Linked DNA regions of Arabidopsis thaliana. The protein of the gene in region 3 interacts with the protein of the main gene of each other region in a pairwise test. Each region holds a gene or a part of one and is shown on either strand. Other genes may lie near its edges.

Region 1 (7,143 bases), 6.4 Mb from region 3:
AGATGATAATGATGCTGATGATGAAGATGTTGATAATGTTGCTGATGATGTTCCTGTTGAAGATGATGATTATGTTGAGGCTTTTGATTCTAGAGATCATGCTAAGGCTGATGATGATGATGAAGATGAAAGACAGTATCTGGATGATCGTGAGAACCCATCTTTTACTCTGATCCTTAATCCGAAGAAGAAAAGCCAACTGGTAAGTAAAAACTGAATGTGAAAGAGCTTTTCATTTAACATCGTTGGGTTGTGAGTTTTTATGATGTTTTTTTTCATAAAGCAGCTCATCCCAGCTCGGGTTATCAAAGACTATGACTTGCACTTCCCTGAGAGTATCACTCTTGTCGATCCACTTGTGAAAAAATTCGGGACATTGGAGAAGCAGATCAAGATTCAGACAAATGGTAGTGTGTTTGTCAAGGGATTTGGCAGTATCATCAGAAGGAATAAAGTGAAGACAACGGATAAGATGATATTTGAGATCAAGAAGACTGGTGATAATAACCTGGTTCAAACAATCAAGATTCACATTATCAGTGGATGATTATTTATATCTCTCTCTCTCTCTCTCTCTCTCCATCTCTCTGTCTTTAGTTACGTGTTTTGGAGTTAAATCAAGATTATTGTGGTGTATTGAATTAATGTAAGAGTTTTTAATTTCTAAAACTTATCAGATCTATACAAATTTATAGTCTCTCAAGTCTCAATAGCTTTCTTCATTCATACATATAGAATGCATTGTACTTTACGCTGTTCATATTAATATCAGAGACATTATAGTAAAATGGCAAATGGGTTTGGGTTCTGTTTTGGTATTATCCCTCAGTTTATGTTACAAATCAAAAGCAGAAAGATAAATCACACAATGACAATAAGTACAACAGATCTTGGGAGAATTCAGCGTCGTTTTGGCTGGCCTTCCAACTTATTCCAACCTCAGGGCTGTGTAGAACCTGCACGTTCACATACAAAGTATGTTATTACGTGTAGTATTGTAGGATCTTAGGAAAACTATTGCCTCAAATATGTGTTTGAGATTGACAGAGAAGCAGAAAACAGGAGGGTGATAATACTACACAACTTGGAACTCTTCCTTAGTCTTCTTCTATTCGCTAAGCATTCATCATACTTTTCATGTTTCCATCAAGATTCATATGAATACAAACATCTCAAACTCTTTTTCTTTAGTGGTCTTCTATCAAAATTTTTTTTTTTTTTCTTTTGGATTGTAAACGTAACGTATAACAGGAAGAGGAAACTACAGCTTGTGTGCTGAGCCAAACGATGAGTTGAATGTTGTTGTTTCCAAGAAAGTCTTACCTTGAGTTATGCGGAGGAAGGAGGAAGCTATGGTGGTGGTTGTGGGCGGTTCATGAGATTGTGTTGGTGCTGAGATATGTAATCAGATGGGTGGATAACATAGAGACCGGGCTGATTCAGATTGACGAAGGGCTGAGAAGGATGATGAATAGCTGTGGATGAAGGAGGGCGTGTAGCTGAGAGTGAGAATCCTGATGATGCTGCATTTGAAAACAGTGGCGGTGCTGTAGCTGCTACGGCGGTCCCACCACTGGACTGATCATGCCCTTGCCATGTCCTGGCTGGGAAGCTTTGATGAGAACGTAACATAAGCCCTTTCTCTGGTGTTCTTTCCTGGAGACAAGAATTTAACTTTTAGGACAGAAGATTATTCATTCAAATCTTCAAGAATATCACAACATAGAAGAAGAACTAACAAGCAACAACATAGACCTGTTCTCAAAGGATATCAAAGAGTTGAGCTCAAGTACTTAACTGATCAAATATCACAACAGTAACCACTTGATGAACATCTAGCTGAATTTCATATCACACAAATTACTCATAGGTAGGGTAAAGTTCGATAAATTTAAAATTGTCATTCTATTTCATATTGTATGTTAGTTCTGGACAGAAGGTAAAAATTGTGAGGCAGTGACAAACAGTTGGATATAACGAGATGTGTGCTATGGTATTTACTATTTACCATGGGTGAAAAGAACGCAGAAGGAAGGGCATGCCGGTTATTAAGATGGTCTGAACCCCTCTTCAAGAAATTGAAAGGCGTATCACATGCCGCTGCAGCCATGTGGTTCTCCATCTGTGAGTATATCAAATGAAGAGCAAGAAATTCATGAATAAATGAAAAAACATGAGGGCTCGAGCTAGCAAAGGAGACAGTATCTTTGAGTTCCAGATTGCTATGACATATCGACAAAGAAACATTTGACTAACAGTTGCAGCAAAACGCATATGAAAGTAAAGTAAATCATATTTGGTGCACTGAAGAAAAAATTGCACCATGGTGTTCCTTCCACATACGGAATTGTTAGGGACATGGTGAAGCCGGAGGGCCCTATCTTTTTGCTTCGGACCATCTCCTAGTGAAAGAGAGATTCCCAAGTTGAGGTCGAGCTTAACATTAGCTAAATAATAAGATCAGGAAAACAAGTTAGTCGTAGCTTTTCAAATATTGAGCAGAGATATCAATGATGACAGCAAAAGCTGCATAGCATCGACCAGTTTAACAAGCAAGGAACATCAATTACATTACCTGCCTCGGGAATCATTCGGGATGCATGAGGCTCAATTAAGGAAGCAGCTTCCCTTCCCTTCCATTGTACGGCTGCCTTGTCACAACCCCTAATTCCATAAGAATCTGAGCAATTAGTCATGAATTTTCCTAATAGATCAATAATTCAGGATAAAAGACTTCCTCATAATGTAATTTACAACCATCACTAGCGTACAGCTCATACTCAGATGACAATCATCCCAAGATAGATATAAATGTCTCATAGCCATCAAAATCTCTATATATAACTCATAATCACAAACGGGTCTTCCTGCTAATGGTTCTAACAGAAGCCCTTTTCAACTAACGAAAAATTACCAAACTCTTCATCTGAACCACTCCACTCTTTTTAGCAATGACTGACAACCACATTCAGACAAAAACACAAATAACATAGCATTTGTAAAAGCCCATACTTAGATCCCAGGAAAAGTTAATTACATGTTTCCATGAAGCTGCTCCATTTGAGCTCCCCACCCGCCAATCTTTTGCAAAGCAACTCCTTGATATCTAGAATTATTCCTTGAGAAACCAGAGCTCTGTCGCCGAAGTACTTGCACAACTTCCTCTTTGGAAAGATTCGCCATCTGTAAAGTTTGAAAACCAGATAAGAACAAATCAAAGCGTACATGTCTTCATTTGTACATCTGTAATCAAAACCTGCTTGAGATCCTCTTCATAATCGCCAATAACGAAATTGATGTCAGCTTCCAGACCCCGGAATTTGACAGCAGCTCGATCATACGCCCTACACCAACGAAAGTTGAACTTAGGAAACAATTGTATCATAACGAAAAAACAGTTGAGTGATCAATAAGATCAAACAAAAAAATATCATTTCCAAAGGCATTACCTAGCTGCAGCATGGGCAGTATCAAATCCACCTATTGAATTCAAAAGTTAAAGCTTTTATTAGAGAACTAAGATCCCAGCAGAAATCAGTTCACAGTAGTACAGCCATTAGAATCCATACCTAAATAAACTTGTTTACCGCAATCCCTGCAACCATGAAAATTGACAAAAAAGAAACTTGTAGATTAATACAAAATCTAAACCAAGCTCTTCCATTTTCGACCAAAGATCAACAACTCATCTAAGACCTATCTAAAAGATAAATCAATCAGTAGTAGATATACCAGATATGCGATTCCCATCTGCCTGTCCTCCGATAGAAAGTGACGCCTCTATACTGAGAACTCTTAGACCTAGGACCTCTCCTGCTTTTCTTCACCGGCTGTGATGGTGGCTGCATCACCCGTGAAGCATCGCCACCACCGCTCCCGCTACCTATAAAGTCTCCACCTTGTTTCCCCCTCTGGAAGGAAATATCAACGGTGCTCCTTGAACTTTGAGCGCTCGAATCCATAAAGTTCATGCCTTTAGCAACAGGAAAAAACTCCTTAGTCATCATCACAGCACTTCTTTCATCATCATCTTCTTCTTCTTCTTCTCCTCCTCCTTTCAGTATCTCAAATTGAAACTTGACCGTTCGTGTAGAGCACAACTCATCTTCACCATCTATACAGCTAGAAGCTTCAGCATTAACAACAGAAGAGTTCGACGTCACCGATTCATCCATCTGATTCAAAGAAACCCCTTTAACAGTAATCGAATCTCGTTCGTTCTGAGTAGACTCGGTCGAGTCGACGTCGAGATTGAGATCCAGCATCAATCTCAAAAAAGTCAACAAAAAAGCAAACAAAACTCTGAGCTTTCACAACAACAACAAAAACTATTTCTTCAAGCTCTTACTTACACATTGATCAATAAATTCAACGATCGCCGTCGATTTGAAATAAACAGAGCTCATAAATCACATTACATAGGTGAAAATCAGCACGAGTATGGAGAAATCAAACGGAGATTTAGATTCTGAAATCAATCAAAAACACGACGGAGGAGGAGAAGGAATAATAACCAAAGAGAAAGAAGGAAAAAGCTCAATCACTAAGGAGAGAAATGAGATTGAGGAGACATGGAGATGAAGAGTTGAGTATTGGTCTATGGGGATTTGAAGAGACAAAATAGCTATCGCCGGACGAAAGAGATAATCGTCGGCGATTAGAGAAAATAAAAAGAGAACGGGGAATGATGATGGGACGTAAGCCTGTGGGTTAGTGGCAACAAAGGAACATTTTAACATTTATTTATTCCTTCCATCTTTCTCGGCAATTTGATACCGGTTTTGCCTGTTTCCGGTTTGAAGTAAAAACGTGCTACTTGTTTTTGTTTTATTAGCTTGGTTTAAATTTATGATTAGTGCTTTTACAGTTTTACTATGATAAATTTACGGTTTAAACTGTATGTGTTAAGCTTTTCTGTGATTTCTTTACCAAGATAAGTTATTAAATACAGTATTAGTACTAAATAGATCTGTTAAGGCCTAGGGACAATGAGGTGCATTTTGTTCATGGAATGAGGATTTAATGGATGTGTTCATCTTGGTTAAATCAATTTGAAGCGTGTTCTTCGAAACATTTTGTAAACACATCTGAAAATCATCAAATTTAATTGGGGTTTCACTTTTTATCCTTGAACAAACTCAACTAAAGTGATTTAGTAATTCAAATTTATAGAATGAATCAAACGAAATTCGTTTTTGTATCCTATATAGTATATCTTATTATTAATCTGCAAACAAAGATTGGTAAAGAAAAGCGAATCTACACTATTATATTCACAACTTTGAAGACACATAAAAACCAAAAAACACTTTGAAGTCACATATTCATAGCTTTGAAGACAAAGCATTTGTTTTCATTTAATGGCGGGTCCTATATTTGCAGCTACGTCCTCCTCACAAACAAAAATCTGTAAAGACTTAAAAGAGTGAGATAGAATAATATGACTTTTTATTGATTTATATGGATAACAAGTATCCAACCAACGTAACAAATGTGTCACATGTAAAAAAAAATGTGTCACATGTTAGAAAAAGGTGTAGAAGCTAGCTATAATCAACAATTACATGCATAAAGTAACAAAAGTTATATCATTTTAAGAAGTTGTTATTATTACAAAAACGAATGTGTATGGAAAATAGTTAAAGATGATGGGGAAAAAAATCACTAACATCAGGTTTGATAGCTTTAGTTTTTCTTACTGGACATAGTGATGAAATTTTGTTTTAATTTCTAAGGTTTTGACACATTAATTACTATTGAAATTGAATGATGTATGTTATCTTCGCCTTGTTTGTAGCCAAGTTTTAGTAAGGCCTTGAATGAGTGTGGTTTTTAAACTAGTTTTTGGTTTTAATTTTTTCTAAAATCTATTTTGTAGCCATTCAAGATTTTGAGAAAACAAGTTTTCCTAAAATATAGGAAATCTAGTTTTTGAGTGTTTTAACAATTTTTCAAAGAAAACCAAAATCTATGTTTTGGGAGTTTCTCTCTCAAAAACAATCGATCACATTTTTTATTTTATTTTTAGATTTGTTTTGTAAAAAAAATACTATCCATTAACATAAAAACCAAAATCTAAACAAATTACCATTCAAGTTTTTTAAGAAACTAAAATCTACACCAAAAACAAAAACCAAGAAAATCAAAAACTAAAAACCAAAAACCAAAATCCAAAATCCAAAAACCATTTTAAAAACTACAAACATTCATGGCCTAAATAAAAATGAAGCATGTGTTTCCTAGTTCCTACAATATCACATTGTAAAAATCTATCAAGGCTAGAGAAAATTATCTCTGCATCAACTGTGTCTCAATTTTCTTTTAGATTTTCATTGAATGAATAGCTATAAGTAGAAAAAAAACACATATCCGATCAAACGTTGATAACACAAACATATTGTATCAAATCTTATGGTATCTTGTATTCATTAGTATTGTCTAAATCTCTAAGACTACTACATAGCTTGAGAGCAATGTGATACAAAGAGATCAACAAAGAAATGGATAGGTTTCCAAAATGGATAATTTCGAAAGTCTAAAACAAAATATATTTTGAGTACAAGAAGACATAGGAAAGAACAAAAGCCAATAAAGGGGGATTCTTTTACAATCAAAGGAAATTATTGTTTATTAAAAATAGAAATAAAATGTACGTAACAACGTATTATGTTCTTAACACAGGTTACGGGCGAAAAAATGAAAATGACCTAAAAATATCTATTCTTTGTGTCCATACGAATCTCTTTTTTCTTTGGAAATGTTTATTGAGTGGGGTAGGTCAAATGAACATTCCGACTGGTTTTAGCCGGTTGCCAAAACTTAAGAGTGTCAGAAAAATCTCGAAGATCATGGATTTTAACGAGTAGTATAAAGCCACGTGTACAACAGAGATTGAACCCCAGCCATTCAACTACTCTCTCAGCCATCTTAGGTCACATATCTGATCGGACGGCCCATGTCCATTCTTACTTTCCTTAAATTTAGGGAATTTAACAGTTTCACAATTTATCTAGTTTTTTTTTTTCATTTTCATGCCCACATTCCTTTCTTTCAATCTCTTTATCAAGATTTTACCAAGTACAACCTTAATTTTACTTTTGCCTAAATGTCAAAGTGAAAATTAGGTTGTTAGAGTTACATACT
Region 2 (4,565 bases), on a different chromosome or scaffold from region 3:
AAATAAAATATTTAAATAAATTTATTGAAAAATTTATTGAAAAATCATGTAATATTTAAATAAATTTAGTAATAGTACAGTAAATATGTAAAATAAAATCATATATAAAATTAAATAATAAATTTATCATTAACTTATAAATTAAAAATTGAAAAGTTTACATTAATTATTTAATAGACACATGATAAATGTTAAAGTGATGATGTATCGATCATATGTAAAGAGTTGGATAATTTATATATATATATATATATATATATATATTTTATATTGTTATAGTGCTATAATGCTATGTCAATCTTGAAGGAGATAAAAATATATTTGAATAAAATGACGTTTCAATAACAAAATAATAGTAATGGCAATCAATAAACTATGTCAGTTAATTGAATTTTTATCTTCCACGAAATACGCAATACGCAATTCATTATTGATGTTTTACTGAAATCGAGTGATAAACTATAGGCATAAAAAATTATACTACTATAAAACAACAAGTGAAAATGTTACATTTAATATTACAATAAATGAAACATGTGATATCACAAGGAACAACAACATCTTAAAATCGTAACTCCATTTTGATGCATGACATATTTTATCCCATATCACATTACACGACTTGCAATATGCCAAGAAGTCACATAAAGTAAATGCACATAATTGTTCAAATAAAAGAAAAGGTCCATAAATGAGTTTACTAGTACACCAACCAAACATTTACTCAACCTAATACGTCATACATATTAGGACTTGACTTACACTCGCCAGGACAATCTCCAACTCTCTCCATTGATAGAAATCGTAATTTATTGCTCTCTTTGTTTTCCGTGCAATTTATTTTTCGATCATGAGAATGAAAATATTTTTTCAAACTAGAAAACAAAATAATAGAATCAAAGCAAGACCGGATGTTTAAAAAACAAGACAAATCAAAAAAAAATATTTTGTTAAATCAAAACAACGACAAAAAAGAAACAAGACAAATCAAAACAAGACCGGCGTAAGATTTAGGTAACTAGTATTAATTTTGTTATGGACTTTGTATGATACACTTCCTTTAATAAATATCAGAATTCAAAAAACAAAAACAAAAAGAGTTACCTATGAGAATCTAAAATTCTGCTACTCACATAAATAGTAAACGTGACAAATGATATCACGAACTACAAAGTCTAATGATTCGAAGTAAATAATAACAGTGCACATCCCAATGCATTGGTTAAATCGCCAAGAATTTTCTTAAACATACATTATAAGAAAACATCAAAAACTTATCTTACACGCTCCAAAACCAAGATTATAGGTACCCTAATAAAACACATGTTTATAAAGCTACCTAAACAATGATTAGCCGAGAAAGGAGAAAACATTAACCATACGATAAGAAAGTACTTAATTAATTAAGTAATCACATGAGTGAAGTTATATAACAACAATCTGAACTTAACTAAGGATTAGTAGAAGCAAGATTTTCAGTAATGTCGTTATTACCAGCAGAAAGGTCGACATTGTTACTAACGTTGTTGCTCTTCTTGGAGAGATTTTGTTTGTTGTTGTGCATCCAAACTTTAAGAACTCTTCTCCTAATTCCAATCTCTTGACAAAGCTGTTGAACAACAGATTCCTCTTGTCTCTGAATCTTCCAACCAACTCTTTCCGCAAAACTAATCATCTTCTCCTTTTGCTCTTGTGTAAACTTTGTCCTAAACCTTTTCTTCTGATTATGTCCGTAACTATACGGTGATGGTGGTGGTGGTGGCTGCCGGAATGTCAAGCTTCCTCCGCCTTCTTCCTCCATAAGATCCTCTGACTCTGAGTTGGATCCAGCGGTTGTAACGCCAATAGGCATTATCATTTGTTGTGGTAATGGTGATTTGATCATCTTGTGGTGGAACATGAGTTTTCTCTGCTGCGGAGGTGGTTGGTGGTGGTTGAGGTAAGGGGAAAAGAATGTTTTCTCTTCACCTTCGGTTTCTCTTCTATGAAAGTTTCTATGGCAGTTGCAAACTGAGCAAGTGAGAGCTTCAATGGAACCTTCTTCACCACTTGGCATAAACTCTCCACAACCATCAATGGCATTGCCTCCCATGGTAGCTGCATGGTTCTTTAGGCATTCCTTGTACTTTATCACCACAGGCTTCTCTTTCTTGATGTTGGTAACCATGATGTTGTAACCCACATGATGATGATGAGAATGATCATGATTTTTACCAAGACCATTACTATTTGAGGAGACTAGTAGTGGGTTTGAAGTAGTAATGTTGAGAGATGATGGTGCAGAATTGGCATGATGATGATGGTTCATGTTCCCATGCCCACCTCCACTATTACCATAACTAGTGTTTATTGGAATAGGATCTTCTTGACTTGCAATCTCCATTCTTTTGATCTATCTGCCAAGGAAATAAACACGATTTTATATTTAAAACTTTTTTTGGGTTTTGCAAAGTGTTTCTTGGTTTGGGGACAAAGAAACTAGTTAGGAAGAAAAAAACAAGAGTAAAGATAATTAATGAGTAAAATTCAAATGATTAAGCTACAAAAAGGCAAGAGCTTTCTTCACTACTCATTAACCCCATTTTTTTAATTATTTCCTCCAAACAAAAAGAAAAACCCTAATTTTAGAAGGTCCATAAAGATAGAGAACAAAACGAAAAAGTACAAAAGAAAAGAAAAACTTATTGCAAGCCTGCTTAAGCAAAAGCTGACAAACCCACTTGAGAAAGAAAGGTCTTATTCCAAGTGAGAGGTTGATGATAATCAAGAAGACAATCTTTATTGTATCACCAAAACAAAATTGTTCTATTTAAACCAAATGAAAAAATTGACTGAAGAAGTTAAGAGCACATACCCACAACCAGAAAGAGCAGCAAACTTTATCTCAAAATGAAACCTTTCTTGAGAATAACCACAAGGTTCTGAGAATAGAGAGAGGCTAAGGAGTTTAGAGATTTAATTAGGGTTTTATAAAGTGATAGACTTTGAAGAAAGAAGATAAAGAGAGAGAGAGAGAGAGAGAGAAAGAGAGAATTGCAGGTGGGTTTTGGATGTGAAGGCACTTCTTAAACTAAGGGCTTAGAGTATTAGTAGTGAAAGCCAATAAAGCATGAGAAAGACACATGAGAGCCATAGCCATAGCTAATTATTTCCTCACTTTTCTACAGACAAAGAGAAAAAAGATCATTAATTAATTACACCTAGTTTTCATTTTATTAATTCATATATAGGATATTTTATTCAATAATGTCTCTACCAAATTAAAATTTGGGTGATAATATATAGACAAAAACAATACAATTGTGATCAAAATATGGAAAAGAAAAAGTGTAGCTAAATTATTTGAAACAAAAAAAGCTACATCATTTAATTTAAAATTTGAAGAAACAACAACAATCACTAAATTAGACTTTATAAGATAAGTAGTTATTCATTTTTATATACATTTTTACTCATGAAATGTCATTTTATAATATTGATATATCGCAGTCATTGATGAATTGAAGGTTATATTGAATATAAGACCATCCTCATTCTTCATTGGTGATACTTTGAGGGTGTCTTTAAATTAAAAATAATAGAAAAAGATAATTTAATGTTTTTAATTGTGTAATAGTGTCTTTAGAAAGACATTTTAGATCTCTAAAATAGAAGCTGTCTTTAATTTAATTTTAATTTATTTTTGAGATATCTACAAAGGTATGAGTAATGTGGATGCTCTAAGATTTTCATATTCACCCAAAACAAATTATCAGTAAAGGGAAAGAAAAAAAAGAAGAGAGCCAAGAATTAGGATTATGGGAGATTGCTTGTCTTGCACTATCAGACATCAAATTTACAACAGTGTAGAAACGTGTCAGATAATTAGTGGGAAGAGTATTGAAGTAGATAACAAAGAGAAAGTCATAATAAATAACAATATCTCATCTTTGTTCCAAAACATTAAATAACTAAAAATTTGGTAGTAAGGTATAATAATAATATTTTTTACCATCTTAAAATTTAAAAGTGTGAGATTGATACTAATTCAAAACGAAAGAATGTTCTAAACATTACTATAAAGCCTTAACTTGTTAAGCTAGTTAATTAAAAACACATATTGTTCCTTTACCCTTCGGCCTTCGCCATTAATTATGTCACGTATGATATTAGCTTCAAGAGGTTGTCATGTCATGCTTGTGAATTTATATGATTTACTTGAAGTTACTATTAATTATTGGTCCTACCAAATATGTGCACTTATATACCATGATCATCCGTTTTCTGGAACATACAATTGTGAGAAAGAATCAAAAGATAAACAATAAAATAAAAATATCATAATCAACTGATAATATAGTTACTGAAATATATTCATAAACCAAAGTTTGTTACGAGTTTTGTTAAGACCAAAATCTCGATTATTATTAAGTTTTGATAATATAAAGTTTTTGGTTTATATTGCGGGCTATCAGTGTTGTAAAATTAGACTCTATGTTATAGATGATATATGAACAATTGCTCTTGGGTGGCAGAATTGTAAATTTTGGCCTAAAAGTATATATAGTAAGTCTTGGTAAATAGAT
Region 3 (4,268 bases):
AACCAATTTGTAATTCAATTTAGTTAGGTCTCGACATAATAATCGAACCCTACGAACCAACCCAAACCCGACCGAAAACCCTGATCCAAATCCAAAAATTTCAAATATTCAACGGGTCCTAAACTTCAAAACCCGAAAAACTCTAACCCAAACCCGATCTGAACAAATATCCAAACATACCTCAAATATTTGATATATTATTTATATTCATACTTAAATACAGAAAATATTTGGATATTTGGATATTTTAGTTATTTTGTGTATTTTAGGTTACTTTGGATATATTAAAGTAAAACTATTCGTGTTGTTTTGAGAGTTTTTGAAATTTTCAAGTAATTTGATAAATTTACATACAAAATTTTGATATTTTAATATTTAAATAAACCTGAACTCGAACGGTTTAAAATTTTAAAATACCCGAACGGGTCTTAAACTTCTAAATCTGAAATACACAAACTCGAAATATTCGATCCGAATACTGAACGCCCTTTAGTTTTAATTTGGTTTAAATGATATTCCGGTTTGGTTTGTTGTGGTTGTTGGTTTTAATTTCACAGTTCAGCATTAGCAAACCTTAAATTTTATATTTTTAAACATCCTTTATTTCTAATTTCTAGATTTTTGCCTATGAAGATATCTTCAAAGTAATGTTTTAAGAAAATACCTCTTTAAGGACAAGAAAATCATATAAGGAACTTTGCTGAGGAGACATAGAAATAGTTATTTCTCGTTGTTGTAAGCGGTGGTTTAGGTGACTCATTTTCGAAGTTAAAGCTCTCGTTAAATCTGTGTTGAAGCTTCATAATCTACTATGGTGTTCCCTCCAGATCACTTTTTATTACTCCAATACTCATTTTTGAGAGATTCACTGAAGATACTCTAACATACATACGTGTATCTGTAACGTAACGGGATTCAAATACCATTTTTTCTCTTTTTTTGTGTTATGTTGTAGGATCAAAAAAATTGTGACTTTTGTGTGGATTAACATTTGACAATAACGTTAGACGTATCCATTATTCATGTGTTAAAGTAAAATACTTATTCAATAAAAGTTAATATAATTCTAAATTTGTTTTATTTATCGAGTTAAATGAGTTAACTATAACATATATTACATATATGAAATCCTCTACAGCTGTTACACAACAATGTTCATCAATATCCAATGCTGCTATTCTTCTGAAATCTGGACATCAATCGCAAAGAATGTGTACAAAGATAGATTTTCCACAAAATGGTCTGCTGTGGTGAATTACATATCTGATTCTCAGCCTGATCGCATCCAAAGTTTCTTATCCAGGTACACATTCCAAGTCTCTATTCATTCCATTTGGAGGGAGAGAAATTCTCGTCGTCACGGAGAGAAGTCACGTTCAGCTTCAAACCTCATCCGACAGATAGACAAGACTATTAGAAACCAGCTATCGACAATCAAAAAGAAAGGGGATCTTCGACTCGAGAAGGGGCTGCAAGTATGGTTTGACATGCGTCCATAGCATCCTCTAAGAAAGAAGACTCTGTTTTTGCTCTCTCAATTCTATTTACTCTGTTTTTGATCTAGCTCTATTTCTCTTATTATCAAAATATCAAAAAAGCTGATGTAAAAAGTATATTTTTTCTTTTAAATATAATTTGACATTTTATTCAAAAAAAAAAAAAAACAATGTTCATCAATAAAGTTGATTGTTGTTGATTTCTTAAAACAGGAAATCAACGAAATCTCCCAAAGTAAATAAAATTGTGTATCAACCTGTATGCCATGTATCTAAATAACAAATCAAAATCTTTTAGCAATAGATTCAAAAAAAAAGAAAAAACTTTTTGCAATATGATATGTCATATAATGATAATTAAGTTGATACAAATTGGATTCTTAAAATAAACTGGATTCTTAAGCTGCTAACCATTTATTAAAAAAAGATATTGACACATTTACCTACTCACATATTATCAAACCATATATCTAAATCACCTACTACATATTTCATTCGAAACATTGTACATAAATATATCTCTATACAAAATTTAAATGACAACATTGTCAACATAGAAGTATAGAACCGTGGCTATTAGCTATTCATATTGGGCCGACAAAAAAAAAAAAAAAAGGCTATTCATATTGGTGGGTACTAAAATAAGGCTTGGAAATTCATATTAATGTAAAACTCATTTAATCGTTAGAGAGCGTGGTAGTCATGTAGATTAATGAAGGAGCGTGAGATCAAGCAATCAAATTACGCAAAGTCACGCCGCAGTAACGGGACGTTAAGGCAAAAAGCCGTCACAAAAACATTAAAACCTCTCACATTGTCTGTTTTTTGGGCGGCGCTTTTCAGTCAAACCCTCGTTGACCGTCTCTTTCTCTTTCTCTAAACCAAAAACCTTTTCCTTTATAAATTAAACCAAAAACAACGTCACTTCTCTATCTAAACGAGAATATATCTCTTCTTTTATAAGCAATGGCTCCAAGACAGGCGAACGGTAGAAGCATTGCCGTGAGTGAAGGCGGCGGAGGGAAGACGATGACGATGACGACGATGCGGAAGGAAGTGCACTTTAGAGGTGTGAGGAAGCGTCCATGGGGTAGATACGCGGCGGAGATCCGTGACCCGGGAAAGAAAACCCGGGTTTGGCTCGGGACATTCGACACGGCGGAGGAAGCTGCAAGAGCTTACGACACCGCCGCTAGAGAGTTTCGTGGCTCCAAAGCAAAGACTAATTTCCCTCTTCCCGGAGAGTCTACTACGGTTAACGACGGTGGCGAGAACGATTCTTACGTCAACCGTACGACGGTGACGACGGCGCGTGAGATGACGCGTCAGAGATTTCCGTTTGCATGTCACCGGGAGCGTAAAGTCGTCGGTGGTTATGCTTCTGCTGGTTTTTTCTTCGATCCGTCAAGAGCTGCTTCGTTAAGAGCAGAGCTTTCTCGGGTTTGTCCGGTTCGGTTTGATCCGGTTAATATCGAGTTGAGTATTGGTATTCGAGAAACCGTAAAAGTTGAACCGAGAAGAGAACTAAACCTGGATCTTAACCTAGCTCCACCGGTGGTGGACGTTTAGATTTTTTTCTTCTTTTCATAATTTGTATTTTACATTGCCGGAAAATAATTAATGTTTTCTTTAGTAGATGAGAAAAAGAAAAATCTCCTATGTTTTTGGCTAAGTAAGAGGAATTTTTTTTCAGAAATCTCCTATGGTTCCCTAATTACGTGGATGTAATTAATTACTAATCAAATATCTCCTTTTGATATTTTTTTTCTACTTTTGATGTTTTTTCTTAAATGTCTTAAAATGACATGATGGTTGGTTGATGTATCAAATAGGTAGTAGATATCACTCCATTAAATGGATGTGGAATATGAAACCAAGAAACATCGAACATTTAGATGGTCTGTCAACATCAAACAATTTAGTATAGGAGAGTACCCAAAAATAAAAATAAAAAAATCGGATGATCATGACACAAAAAAGTAGTTATCGTTTTCATTAGTTTTCTCATTATATTGAATTATGGTTTCATGGTTTGGTTTATAAATTAGACATGTAAAATTCTTTTTTCATCTATGAATTGTGTAGGAAGAAAATTAAATTCAAAAGTAAAAAAACTGTAGTGAGTTATGAGTTTTTTTTTAAAATGTATTTGAAAAGTAGAGTGGTAGCATCATGAGTCCAATCTTCGAGTTTCGTGTAGATGGGGATGATGGCATGAGTGTCAGGTGGGAGGCACGTGTGCTTTAGCCGTCCATAATCTGTTTTGTTCCTATGCTTTCAATTTTTTTAAACCACAAACATATTTTGGCTAGGGTGGCTTTCTTACGTCTAATTATTATGTTTTGGTTTTATTTTTGTCATCTAAAATTTTATTAATAAAAAGATGAAATATATATACCGCTGATAAAAATTAAATAAAGAGATAAAATTATATTATATGTTAGTAATAACTCTTTTGAGATGTAATTAATTTTGTTGAAAAAAAATCATAAGTACTAAAAAGGATCGCATCTAAACACTATTGAACAAAAGTTAGAGAGATTTTCATAAAGGTTCCCCTATAGAATATCTAAATGTCGGAACCACCAATAAATCCGAATAGACCAGGCACCAAAGATAAGCAAATAACAAACCAATATGGATGAAAATAAAAATCCAACACGACCATAGGACTCAAATAGAACTACTAACACACTTCACCAACAAACCACAGAAAGCAAGAAACACTAGAATTAAGACAAAAACTTTAAATTGACTGCAGATAAATCACGT

What was found.
Region 1: the proteins of ERF9 (region 3) and TOE2 interact in binary tests that used the Arabidopsis thaliana proteins (3 or more experiments, as listed by UniProt).
Region 2: the proteins of ERF9 (region 3) and HB21 interact in binary tests that used the Arabidopsis thaliana proteins (3 or more experiments, as listed by UniProt).

The regions. Positions count from the first base shown.
Region 1 is NC_003076.8:24,205,275-24,212,417, reverse strand, and holds TOE2 (target of early activation tagged (EAT) 2), read right to left. Parts: upstream 4,730-7,143; 5' UTR 4,266-4,729; coding exon 3,733-4,265; intron 3,596-3,732; coding exon 3,570-3,595; intron 3,481-3,569; coding exon 3,450-3,480; intron 3,345-3,449; coding exon 3,257-3,344; intron 3,184-3,256; coding exon 3,038-3,183; intron 2,665-3,037; coding exon 2,576-2,664; intron 2,448-2,575; coding exon 2,257-2,447; coding exon of another isoform or gene 2,134-2,256; exon of another isoform or gene 2,123-2,133; coding exon 2,009-2,122; intron 1,840-2,008; exon of another isoform or gene 1,657-1,839; coding exon 1,351-1,656; 3' UTR 1,324-1,350; exon of another isoform or gene 957-1,323; 3' UTR 675-956; downstream 1-674. Other genes in the region: AT5G60130 (AP2/B3-like transcriptional factor family protein), read left to right, coding at 1-202, 287-547.
Region 2 is NC_003071.7:682,120-686,684, reverse strand, and holds HB21 (homeobox protein 21), read right to left. Parts: upstream 3,051-4,565; 5' UTR 2,855-3,050; intron 2,397-2,854; 5' UTR 2,384-2,396; coding exon 1,451-2,383; 3' UTR 1,189-1,450; downstream 1-1,188. UniProt on the Arabidopsis thaliana protein: Putative transcription factor.
Region 3 is NC_003076.8:17,804,280-17,808,547, forward strand, and holds ERF9 (erf domain protein 9), read left to right. Parts: upstream 1-2,117; 5' UTR 2,118-2,462; coding exon 2,463-3,065; 3' UTR 3,066-3,262; downstream 3,263-4,268.